Linked DNA regions of Ovis aries. The protein of the gene in region 2 interacts with the protein of the main gene of each other region in a biochemical or structural test. Links are inferred from orthologs where the notes say so. Each region holds a gene or a part of one and is shown on either strand. Other genes may lie near its edges.

What was found.
Region 1: the proteins of DAXX (region 2) and RASSF1 form a complex in vitro, tested with the Homo sapiens proteins (4 studies listed by BioGRID and IntAct, with this or other methods). The link is inferred for Ovis aries from reciprocal best matches to the Homo sapiens genes DAXX and RASSF1.
Region 3: the proteins of DAXX (region 2) and PML form a complex in vitro, tested with the Homo sapiens proteins (2 studies listed by BioGRID, with this or other methods). The link is inferred for Ovis aries from reciprocal best matches to the Homo sapiens genes DAXX and PML.

Annotation. Positions count from the first base shown.
Region 1 is NC_056072.1:50,057,933-50,061,983, reverse strand, and holds the start of RASSF1 (ras association domain-containing protein 1), read right to left. Parts: upstream 2,803-4,051; 5' UTR 2,771-2,802; coding exon 2,521-2,770; intron 589-2,520; coding exon 482-588; intron 1-481. Other genes in the region: ZMYND10 (zinc finger MYND domain-containing protein 10), read right to left, coding at 3,406-3,481, 3,562-3,687, 3,805-3,926, 4,012-4,051. UniProt on the Homo sapiens protein: Potential tumor suppressor. Required for death receptor-dependent apoptosis. Mediates activation of STK3/MST2 and STK4/MST1 during Fas-induced apoptosis by preventing their dephosphorylation.
Region 2 is NC_056073.1:7,643,015-7,647,216, forward strand, and holds the start of DAXX (death domain-associated protein 6), read right to left. Parts: upstream 2,858-4,202; 5' UTR 2,615-2,857; intron 2,385-2,614; exon of another isoform or gene 2,070-2,384; intron 2,039-2,069; exon of another isoform or gene 1,913-2,038; intron 1,079-1,912; exon of another isoform or gene 1,076-1,078; 5' UTR 1,027-1,075; coding exon 820-1,026; intron 671-819; coding exon 1-670. UniProt on the Homo sapiens protein: Transcription corepressor known to repress transcriptional potential of several sumoylated transcription factors. Down-regulates basal and activated transcription.
Region 3 is NC_056071.1:32,241,804-32,245,389, forward strand, and holds part of PML (protein PML), read right to left. Parts: coding exon 3,476-3,586; intron 3,065-3,475; coding exon 2,815-3,064; intron 1,500-2,814; coding exon 1,447-1,499; intron 775-1,446; coding exon of another isoform or gene 37-774; exon of another isoform or gene 1-36.

The DNA.
Region 1 (4,051 bases), on a different chromosome or scaffold from region 2:
GGAACCAGTGTCCGAGCCGCAACCGTTAACACTGAAACGTAGACAGCCAAGACATAGCTGTCATCTCATTGGAGGAGGGATGTCGAAGGGCGGGGTCACACACGCCTCGCCTCCAAGAATGATCTCAGCCCTGGGGCAGCTCAGTTCAGCGCAGTCTCGCAGGCCCCGCCTCCCAAGGGACACTATGGGGCTTGTGCGCGTGTGCACCAGCGTGGCCTCGAGGCCGGATGCAGCTGCGGGAAGGTGCGGAAGTTGCACTTGCGCGCAGTCTGGGCGGCTCCGGGCGGTTAGGGCCGAGTCAGCACCCCCCGGCACCCCTTGGAGCCCGCGCGCAGAATTAGCCACTCTCTGCCTCCGGGAAGTCGGCTATCAAAACGTTTATTGCGCGTAGCGCCGGGCGGCCCTAGGGAACGCCTCCAATGTGGCCCCGCTCGTCCACGCATCCCTGCGTTGCCCGTAAGCTCCCCGGTCCCGCGCTCACCACATTCGTGTCCCGCTCCAGCGCCGGTTCCCAGCCCAGGTCCCGGGGCCCGCAGCAGTCTAGGGAGACGAGCGCGCGGCAGCGGTAGTGGCAGGTGAACTTGCAATCTGCAGAGAGGCCTGGCCATAAGGTGGAGGAACCCCAGCAACCAGCTCGGAGGAGCGTCCCGGGGACAGAAGCGAAGCCCCGGGATGAAGGCCGTTGCTCGTCGTGTTCTCCATGACTGGCCTTATCTTAGTCCCCGTTAACACCCACTGCCACTCAGATTTTAGAGTCTCCCCTGCCGCCGCGCCTCCCCGTTCTGTCCCCCCCCCCCCCCCCCCCCCCCCCCCCCCCCCCCCGCCCCGGGCCTGGAAACTGGCAGGGAAGACTTCATGCTGTTAGGGATCCAGGCCTGCTCAACAGTTGGATTTCTAGCGCCTAGGGCAGAACTTCCCCTTCCTCATTATCAGCGTCCCTCCCTCCTCCCATTTACTGGAGGGGGAAACAAAAAAACTTTTAACTCAGTGCCTCTTCGTGTCATTTTTCTCTATTCCCCTTACACACAAAACTTACCAACACTGGTCTCTTACTTAATTCCTCGCCTTCATCCTCTACCCATTCCAGTCTTGCTCTCCTCCCTCCAGGGAACTCAGAGACCGAACCGCGGAATGCGGTGGTCCCTTCACCTCTTCAGCATCGTCTGATGCTTGCTCTCCGGATTCCCCGGGGGCCCTCACTACCGCGGTTTTCCTCCCACCTCACTGTAATCCCTGTTCAGGGGGCTTTAGTTCTGTTTCAGCTTCCAGATCTAATGGTGGAGAGTCCGAGGCCCAGTCCTGATCGCTTTTCTTCTCTGTGTACACTGACCTACCTTAGATCCAAGGCTTCCATCTGACCTCCTTGAGATCAAATTCTGTGTCAGTATCTTCATTTGGCTGTCCAATAAACAATTCAACCAGACATGGCCAACATTTAACTCACTTTCCTACTCCTTTTAATTCTTCACTTCTCCTCACCCTTGCCCTTGCCAGAGTTCAACTCAGCAAAAAACAAAAACCAGACCAAACCACCCCAACTCATCCTTGATGCCTCTCTTGTTTCTGCTTCTGACACACACCCAAATTGTCCTGTTTTTCATTCCCATGGCCACTTTATTTCTCCTTGGGAACACTGCTATCTTCCCAGCCCTTGTTCATGCTTTTTGTATGCTGCCACAAGTCCCATACTCGTCCTAGCTGAATAAAGACAAACTCCTGTACTAGATGAGAGGGTCTCCATCACACACAGGCTTGGGACATCTTCCCTAAGTTCCTAAATGGGCCAGAGCAGTGATTCTCCACCCAGGCTACACATTAGAATGACCTGTTTTTAAAAATCGCTGGTACACTCTCAGTGACCTGACTGATTCAACAGGTCTGCAGTAAGATCCAAGGGTAGAGGTTTGGAGGGCTATAAAAGCATCCCAAGTGTTTCTAGATGGTGTATGGCCAGTGAGACAGCAACCTCAGCTTGCTGGTGATTTCTGGGAGGGCAGAAGCACCAACTGGCGTGTGGTTGCGTTTCATGTTTTAGCAGCTGGCTGACTGAACTTCCAATAGGTATTTGCTAAAGACAGACTCAAAACTCCTGCTTGTAGCCCTGTGCCCAAGTTTCTATTTCCAGGCCTTCTCCCATAGGTGGGTAAGTTCCCTTCACCACAGGGATTCTCCTGGGGGACTTGGCAAGTGAATCTTTCCAAAGGGGTAAGTGTAAGAATGTGAGTCCAGAGACTGACAGGAACAAGCCTTTCTCAAGAAGGGCCAAGGCACTGGTTAAACTTGAAAGTAGTACCTTGTTTACAGAGAAGCACGTTTGCCTAACTGTCTCAGAGGCAGGTGGAGCTTGGCAAGGTTATAAACTATCAGCCCGCACTCTCTTGTGCTATGGGGCAAAGGTTACAGACCTGGTCTGTGGGAACTGTCCCCCCTGACCCCCTCCATCGCAACTTGGCCCTCAGCGACGGGGCTGTCCCTTGGCTGCCCGTTTCGCTCCCGCCAGCTCTTGGGTCCGCTACTCACGCGCGCACTGCAGACCCTTGCGCACGACGCCCCAGATGAAGTCGCCACACAGGTCACACCACGTGTGCGTGGCGGGCCCCGCCGGCTGGAAGCGGTGGCCCCGGCCCGGGACCTGCTGCCTTGCGGCGTTGCGAGCTGTGCCCGGCGAGATGCGCAATGCATTGGCACGCTCGAGCCGAGTGCGCCCCGGGGCGGCGCACCGTTCGGGTGCCAGTTCCCGCAATTCAATGAGCTCAGGCTCAGCGGACATGGCCCGGTCGGGCCGGGTCTCCGGCCGGTTCTGGGCGCTAGCGAGCGCGGGGCGGGCGGGGCCGCGGGGCGGGCCCCGATTCGGCGCCGCCTCCAGGATTCAGGCAGAGCGGCGGGAGAGCAGAGGAGAGCCGCGCAATGGAAACCTGGGCGCCCGCGCTGTGTCGGCCCGCAGGCGGAGTGGGACGGCGGGTGCGGCTGGGGGCTGCTCTCTCAGAGTCCCCGCCCTCCGTTTCCTATCCTCCCTTCATCCCGCGAGCCACTCCCCTCCTCTTAACAACCACGACGACCTCAAGGGGCCACGAGGAAACAGGCGTGTTTGTGGAAGCTAGCTTTACTTTACAGTACTAGAGGAAGAGGGTCCCCACATCCGGCCCTTGTCCCCTCCCCCCCGCCCCCCGCCCAGGCCTCCTGCCCCAGCTTGGGGAGGCTGCACCCTAAGCCTTCGCGCCTGATAGAGCAGGAAGTGGGGAGCGCTTAGATGGGGGGAGATGGGTCAACAGCTCTTCCCGCCTGCTATCCTCACCACCCGGGAGGCTGGGGCACTTGCAGAGGCCAGATTGAGATCCAGAGGTTTTGGGGGGACACTTGAGTGGGTTGTAGGCACGGGTGGTTGGCCCTCAGCCGCTGCAGCCTTCACTTGGCTCTGTCCCCCTGGGCTGCCAGGACACAAGCCTTTCCATGCTTCTCCCAGTGCTTGACTTGGCACTCCCTGCAGGCAAATGGGCCGGTGAAGATGCAGTGATCCGAGGGGTATGGGAATGGGGGTCCAAGGTCCTAGGATGCCCTCACCTGCAGCAATACCACTCATTCTGGCACCGGGAGCAACGCTTGGAGGCCTCTGCACTGCAGTAGGCACAGCGGGGCCGCTCTGGAGCCACTGCCTCGAGCACATCCAGCCTGTAGGTCTCAGCCCACCTGGAAAAAGGGTCCGGAAGGACTTGCTGGACCTGTGGGTGGGGGGACAGGGGCAACCCCACCCACATCCACGCCGCTGCCTCCCTTCTCCTCTTCTGCTGGCTTAGCAGGCCTCACCTTCGCGCCTGCAGCCTCAGGTCCTGTTCCGAGGGGCTAAATACATGCCGCAGCTGATGCTTGGCGATAGCCTGCCACTTGCCTTTGTTCTCTCGCTCTAGCCGCTCCCAGATTTCTGGGATCTGGGGAAGAGAAGCAGAGAGTGGCAGGGAGGAAGAGCTGGTCAAGTGAGCAGTGGTCCTGACCAACTAACTTCCAAGAGCCTACCTGTTCCAACACCAGGTCCTTCTTAGGGGGCTGGGCTTCG
Region 2 (4,202 bases):
CTACGGCCCGCAGTACATCTCCATAGTCAGGGAAGGTATCAGGCCCTGGCTTGTTGATGAGCCGCTCAATGCGCCTGTTGACCTCTGGGTAACGGGTACCACGGTAGGGGATGCGCTGCTCTATGACCCGGCCTGTCAGTGAAGAGCAGTCTTTCAGCTCACACAGCCGCCCAAAGAGACGGATCAGCTTACGCTTCAACCTTGCTTCCTGCAGGTAAGTGGAGTCTGGGTCATCCAATTCTGAGAGATCCAACTCCTTTTCTTGCAGCCGCCGGATCTCTGCCACATACAGTGCCAGCAGCTGCTCCAAGCGCTGGATCTGCCGCCGGGAACCACGGGTCCTTGGGGCCTCAGAGCCAGTGGTCTCAGCATTTGGGTCCGAGGAGGGGTCTGTGGGAGGGTTATTCCCAGAGGGTTCACTAGAGGTGGTGGCAGCAGGGGCCAGGTTCAGCTTCTTCTTGGCTGAGTGGGCCTTGAGAACCGTGCAGAGCTCGTTAATGTAGACATAGAGCTTAGCTGGCCGGTTCTGGGCCCGAGAGAGGACCCGAGACAGGATGTTGCAGAACTCCGCCGAGGCCAAAAACAGAGGGTGGGCCCGCTGCTGCCGGTTATAGAGGAACGGGACCACCTCAGGGTGGTCCGCCGTCTGCGTCTTACACAGTGCAAGGAACTGGAAGGTTCACGGGGGAAAAGGGAGGAGAAAAAGACAAAAGGATAGGGTTGAGAGAAAGGTGAGGTGGGGTTAGTGGGGGAGAAAGGACAGAGCCAAGCAGCCATCCCCCTCCCTGGGGCACGACAGTCTTCTCCCCTAAAGCTCACCTCTTCAAACAGCTTCTCATTCTCCAACTTGTAGCATTTCTTGCCGCCCGAACTACTGCTTCCTCCAGCCCCATGGGGCTGAGAGGAGCCAGGGGCTTCTGCCCTGGGTGAGGCCGGATTAGGGGGTGGGTGGGAGGGCCCTGGCTGAGCAGCTGCTTCATCTTCATCATCATCATCCAGCACGATGATGCTGTTAGCGGTAGCCATAGGGGATCAAATCCCCCGGAGGGAGGAAGTGTTGGGGATTTCGTAATTCCTGCTGGAAGGGGATGGGGCCTCAGACAGAGCCCCTCCAGCACCGCCCCATCCCTTCATCTCACACGTTTTCCAGTCTTGGGTTTCAAAAGCACCCAGCCATGCCCAACAGTGTCCTCATTTCCTAGCTTCAGCAAGCATTAGTACTGTACGTTTTTCCGGCCCTTTACTAGGGGAGTTCCAAACCTTCTGAAAACCTGAAGTCCCACCTCCAGCTCCACCCCCCACGCATGTATCCGGTCTTTCAGTCTCGTTTTCCCCACTATTTCTCAGAGTTGCCAAGTTGAGTCTTCCTCTCAACCCCTGGACGACCTCTCTCGCTGCACTACAGATTTCCTTGACATTCTCTCGAACAGACACCACAGCCCCGCTGGCACCACCGTTTTCCCTGTTCGCTCTCTCTCACACATATCAAATCTATACTCTCACCCCATTCTGAAAGATAACCCCAACTCGGAGACCCCTTGAGAAGGAGGTTCCCTCCCAACAATCCATTCCCTTTTCTCCTACTTAAATTATCTCTATATTCCACCCTCTGATGGGTCTCCTCAAACCGAAGCGCTAGGTTGAAGATATTTCACCCCAAGTCCCCTCCTTCTCACCCCACCCTAATTTCCCCCATTCTCTCTCAGTGACCTGTAACCAATCGTGAGCTCCACGCTGGGCTCTCCCGATTTCTCTCAGATCCCAGCCCTGAGTCCAGTCCTTCCCCTAAATGAGCTTCCCGCCAAGTCCCCCTCCCCCAGTTCAGCCCCTGGCCGCCCCACTCCCCTTCAGGGATAGGAAGGAGGATCCCACAGCCTGCCCCTCAGACTCCGCGCCGGGGACTCCCCAGTACCTCTCCCTCGACAGTCCTGCCCCCGCCTTCGCTCCCCACACCGTCCGGCCCCCACCTCAGAAACGGTCTCTCGAGGCGACCCTCTCCGCGGATCTCAGAACCTCGCATGGTTCCCTCCGTCTTCCTTCCCCCTCCCACCGCAGGCCCCACTTCTTACCGGAAGCCGCGGAGCTTCCGCCCACACGCTCTGGGCGCGGCCATATTGTCGCACGGAATCCTGTGCCGCCGGCAGGCAGGCAGGCAGGCAGGGAGGGAGGGCCGCCCCTCCTAGAGCCTCCCCTGCCGCCCACCTCGTCTGCGGCTCCTTTCACCCTGACCTGCAGGGGGCGGATTTGTCGCCTCCGGGCGTCCTGAATACCTGGGGGCCGCCATCTTGGCGTACGGCTCTGGCTGCGCCGGGAGCGGGGCCCGCCGTCAGTGGAGCTCTTTTCACCCGGTGCTTCCGCGACTCCGCCAATCAGAAACTTCCCGCATCCCGGCCCAACCACCGCTAGTCGCGTGCGGGGAGGACTGATCCACCTTTCTACGTGGGGGGGCGGGGGGCCGGGTCGGGGGAGGAAATAACGGAACAGCGCGGGGTGAGGAATTGGGCCCTCCAAGGCTGAACAGGGAGGCACGGAAAGGCAGGAGTGTCTTAAAAGGGAAATGAAACCTTTCCTAGCCGCTGGGCTTTTGACAAGCCTTGTGGCGCTACTTTCCTACCTGCCAGGTCCCGGTTTCCGCGGCTCAGTCGACTGTACCTGTCATTTCTTTCTGTGGTCTGCGCGCTCCCTTGCAGCTGCCCAGAAGCTACTTCTACATCCAGGTGCCTACATCTCCCAATCATGAAGTCGTAACACACGCATACAAACGAGCACAACACGCTATACAAATGTGTTCTTATTATTGCGATTGTTGGCGTGCTTTCCAAGCTCCACCACAGAAGTAATGACCAACCAAGTAGGTGGGACCTAGTTGGTTCTCCGCCGTTTTCTGGAGGGGGTTCCCGAGGCGCAGGCGCTGATGACAAGGAGGCTGTGCTTTGTCCAGGACCTCTAGGGCCTGAGGACAGGCAATGTGGGGAGGGGGCTCTGAGCAGAATCTGTAAGAGCTGTGAGAAGAAACGAGGCTCGAGGCTCGTAAAATACCTTGAGTCTCGTCTCCTCCTCTTCCTCTGGGAGAGCTGACGAAGGAAGAGAGAAGAAACCAACATTGGCGCCCGCCTCGCCCACACCCTCACCCTAAACCAACTTTACGGAAACTGGAGGGGCTCGAAGAGGCAAAGCTGGGCCCAGAGGTGAACTTCTGAGGAAACCGGAAAGGTTAACATGGTTCCAATCTCTCAGTTTCCCGCATCCTGGAGAATTCCACAGAGGGTGAGCATCTTGCCACTTTCTAGGACCACAGTCTCTTACATCCCCAAGCCCTCAGGAGTTCCAAACCCTCAAACCCTCACTCCCATTAAAGAATCCTACACCACTTCTCTCCAGTCGTCTAAGCCTGTAGTCTTAAATTGGGGAACACGGAGACTCGCCTAAGGATACTTGGATTTGGGACATATAAAGGATTAATTTCCAGAGTCTCAGTTTTCCCAAAATTTGTTTTCCTGAATAAATGCTTGCACTAGAGCTTCTCCTTCCTTTTCTCTTTTACAATAGACTTTCTCCCTCTCTATTTAAAAAGGAAAAAAAGAAAAAAGGTATAGTTCTTAACCATGAAATCTAGGGATAACTTTACCTTGTTTTACCTTGGTTGTTTTTTGTTTGTTTTGGGCCACGCCCTGAATCTTGCAGGGATCTTAGTTTCCCAACCAGGGATGGAACTGGCCCCCAGCGCAAGCAATGAAAGCACCAAGTCCTAACTGATGGACCATCAGGGATTTCCCTTACCTTGTCTTAAATAGAAATGTAACAATATTGCAATGTAATTATCCTCTAATTTAAAAAAATGACATGTAGCCTATTTCTTTTAAGGCATCATAAACACCATCTCGTCTATCTCATTTTACATGTACTTTTAAGTTATGAAAATGTGTACAATCTTTATGCTATTTTATCACTTCTGCTCTCATAATAATTGTAATGATAACCCAGAAGAAATATTTCTAAAAACCTAGAGTTTTATGGTCACAAGAAAGAATAATATTTTTCATCTCAATTATGATATGTATGTGTAAGAAAGCGTGATAGGGGACTTCCCTGGTCATCCAGTGGTTAAGACTCTGTGCTTCCATTGCAAGGGACCGGCCTTAGATCCCTGATAGAGGAACTCACATTCCCCCATGGGTGCAACCAAAGAAAAAAGATATTTT
Region 3 (3,586 bases), on a different chromosome or scaffold from region 2:
CTCCAGGGCTGCAGAGGAGGGAGGCGCTTGGGACACTCAGAGGCTTGTCTGCGGGGTGTCTGTGCTGATGGGTGGCCTCTCCAGAGGGTGGAGTGGTAGGAATGCACTTGGAGAGGCCTCCGGGGGGACCTGGACTGGGGGATTTTCCATGGGGGCCCTGCCAGAATCCCCAGGGGAGACCCCTGCTCCAGGAATTTGGGATGCTCTGCCTCCCCGCATTATTCTCCTATAAAAGGTGTTACGCTGGGAGATCCCAGGGGGGTGAGGAAGGGGAAAGATGTTGAGCCACTGGGACACAGCAGGGAAGGGGTCAAGGGGTCGTGCAGCCAGTTGCACCAGGTGGGGTTGGCCGCTGGCCCTTTGGGGGCAGGTGGGATCCTCCTGGGGATTGGCAGGTTGGCTGGGAGGCCCAGTGGTGGCCGGGGTGGTGGCTTGACCCATGGACGGAGGCCAAGGCCACCTGTGGGCACCATACGTTTTGAGGGGCAGGTGAAAGGTGCTGCGAGGGCGCAGGGCTCTTTGCGCCCCACGTGACAGGAAGCTGATCCCACGGTGGACGGCAGCTTGCTCCTGGTGACCGGCAGGCTGGCTGGGACTCTCAGCGTCGGGGATGGCAGCTTGCTCGGCAGGATGGTGGGGAGGCCAAGCCGAGGGGCGGCATGTGCCATGGGACAGACGAGAGGCCCGGAGGGAGTGGGACGCTCGGCGAGCTCTCGGCGGGGGTTGGATGGATGAGGAAGGAGGCAGGACGGCGGTCTCAGTGGGCTCCGCACGCTTTCCAACACAGAACCTCAGACTGAAGGCTGGCAGGGGCCTCAGGGGCCACCCAGTCCAGCCTTCCACTCTAATTCCGATCCCTTTCACCCCTGGGCAGGTGACAGCCTGGCCTTTATGAACCGCTATGAACAAACCTCCAGGGACAGGAGGGTCACAACCCGTGCGGCCACTTGTCCCACTGTGGGATGGCTTTAAAGGAAGTTCTGCTTACATGGAGTCACAGTGTACTAGTCTGGGGCCTGCGTGGTGCTGCCCTGCACCCTCATACCCCCATGTGGCCCTGCATCACTGCCGTTAACCGGGGAACGGGTGCAGGTCCGCCCCCCTCACTGAGACTTAGGAGGGCAGACAATGCATAAGGAAGCCGCAGACACAGGCATTGGCTAGTCCAGAAAAGATATAGGGCTCTGAAGGGAAGCCCTGTCCAGGCCTTCAGAAAGAGTACGTGTGATTACTGATGGCTCCTACCCTGGTACGATGGGAGGGCTGGGGCGATCCAGGCCACAGCTGGCAATTGGAGACTATCCTCCGGACAGCTCAGGACTCACTGCCTCACTGATAAATCCCCTGGGCGCGAGGTGAGTCTGAGAGTCACCTGCTGGGGCTGTGCCCCTGGGGACCTGGAATGGGGGGAGGCAGTGTCCTGGGTCAGACTTCTGAGCAACTCACCGGGTTTTCAGCATCTGAGTCTTCCGAGCTGCTGATCACCACGACGCGCTCCTCTGAAACGGAGCAGGGGAGACAGGGTTAGGCCCTGCCAGGGCTGCTCGTGGATGGAGCCCAGGGTGTTCTCCTGTGGGAATCCTTGCAGGCCAGTGGGCTGGGTGGGTAACATGTGCCCTGCAAGGGGGCTGTCAACATTCAGCGTGTGTGCCAGCGTGGATCTGCCTGTTTAGTCGCTCAGTTATGTCCGACTCTTTGCAACCCTGTGGACTGTAGCCCGCCAGGCCTCTCTGCCAGTGGAATTCTCCGGGCAAGAATACTGGAGTGGGTTGCTGTGCCTCCCTTCAGGGGACCCCCAATGCAGGGATCGAACCTGCCTCTCTGATGTCTACCTGTGTTGGCAGGCGTGTTCTTTACCACTGGGCCACCTGGGAAGCCAGGATCTGCCTGTACGGAGGGGTTACTCAAGGTGGCTTTCCATCACTGCCTGCTATGCCTTGTCTGTGACGACTTAATTCAGCTACTGGCCCTGGAATGATTCAGAACTGACTACCTGTGGAGGGGGTGTGACAAGCACCACCTGGTTTGGAACCTTTGACCATCCTAAAGCAGCACACTGGTTGTTCCAATTCTCAGCTCTGTGAGCTGAGATGTTTGAGTTAAAAGATACTTTAGGTTTACAAAACCTGATTACCAATAGCATTTGTGAGCGAGGATTCTCCATTGGGGCTGAGTGTATGGCCAGGGTCAGGGTTCAGTGTGACCGGGGACAGGGGTCAGTGTGGGACCTAGAATGAAAACAATGCTGGACACTGGGTAAAAGAGCTCCAGGAAGAACAGTCTTGAACATTCCAGGATTCTGGGGGTTGACCTCCACTCACATGAAAGGACTCCCTGTCTGGCAGTGGCCATAAAAGATACCTTGAGCAAGCGAGATACCTTAGGTGGATGGCCTTCGTAAAAAAAATTTGGGAACCGACGGGTGTGGACTTTACCCAAGTCTTCTCTGAGCATGTGCTAGACACCCACCAACAAACATTGTTTGGGGAGACCCATCCTGTGCAGAGGCATGGTACTGGGTTCAAAAAGGGTGTGTCAGGGGAAGGAGCTAAGGAAATGTGTTCCCCAGGCTATCATGCTCCCTATATGGGCATCCCAGAAAAGCATGGGCTAAACCATCCGCGCTAGCCCCCCCCAGACAAACCCTGGGCTTGCCCTTCCCCATTTGGTGGCAGCTGAGGGCAAGACACACAGGGAATGCTGCTTGCCTTGGGCTTCCTGGGAAGGGCGTGAGGATGCAGAGGAGGGGTCCCACCCAGCCCCTGGAAGACAGCATGCAGGCCTCAGCCCATCCTGCCCATCCCCACTCCCTACCTGTCTCTGCAGGGTCGCCGGTTTGATGGTTGCTTTCAGGCAAGGGGAGCTCATCTCTTATGATGGGGCTCTTGGGGCTGGAGGGCCCATCCAGGTGGGGTGGCGAGACTGCCCTGGAGGTGCTGGGCCTGGGCTGCTCAGGGGAGCTCTGAGCCAACCTAGACTCTTCCCCCTCCTCAGACTCCATCTTGATGACCTTCCGGGGGCACTCGGTCTGGCAGGCCTTCCTCTTCTGCGTGTGGGTGCCCTCCTGTGCAGTGGGGTGTCACAGGGCAGGGTCAGGAGCCTCCAAGGGGACTGGGGCCGTGGGCAGAGACCCAGACCTGAGTGGCAGGAATCTGTTCCCCGCCCCATGCCCTTTGCTCCTCCTGTCCCCTTTGCTATCTGCCGTGCGGATCACACCTCTCTACACAGAGGTCCTCCCAAGTCAGCAGGCACACTGGCCCTGCTGGTGACCACTGACCACCAATCTCTGCTGGCTTCTGACTGCCCTGGGAGGGGCTCCTGCTTGGAGGGAAGCTTCCTAACACGGCAACCAAGAGCTGGGAGAGTGCAGAGTCAGTGCCTATTGAGGTCTGGGTTCTCACTTCCATTCCACCTCTTACCACCTAGTGGGATCCGGGCCCTGGGAAGGGGAGGGGAGGGCTGGGGAATATCTTACTTCTCTGCGGGAGGGGTCTTGGATGGAGAAGGCGTACACTGGCACAGGGTGTGCCCCTGGCACCGGCTGTACCACGGCCAATCCCGCGGCTTGCATCTGGTCCCTCGGCAC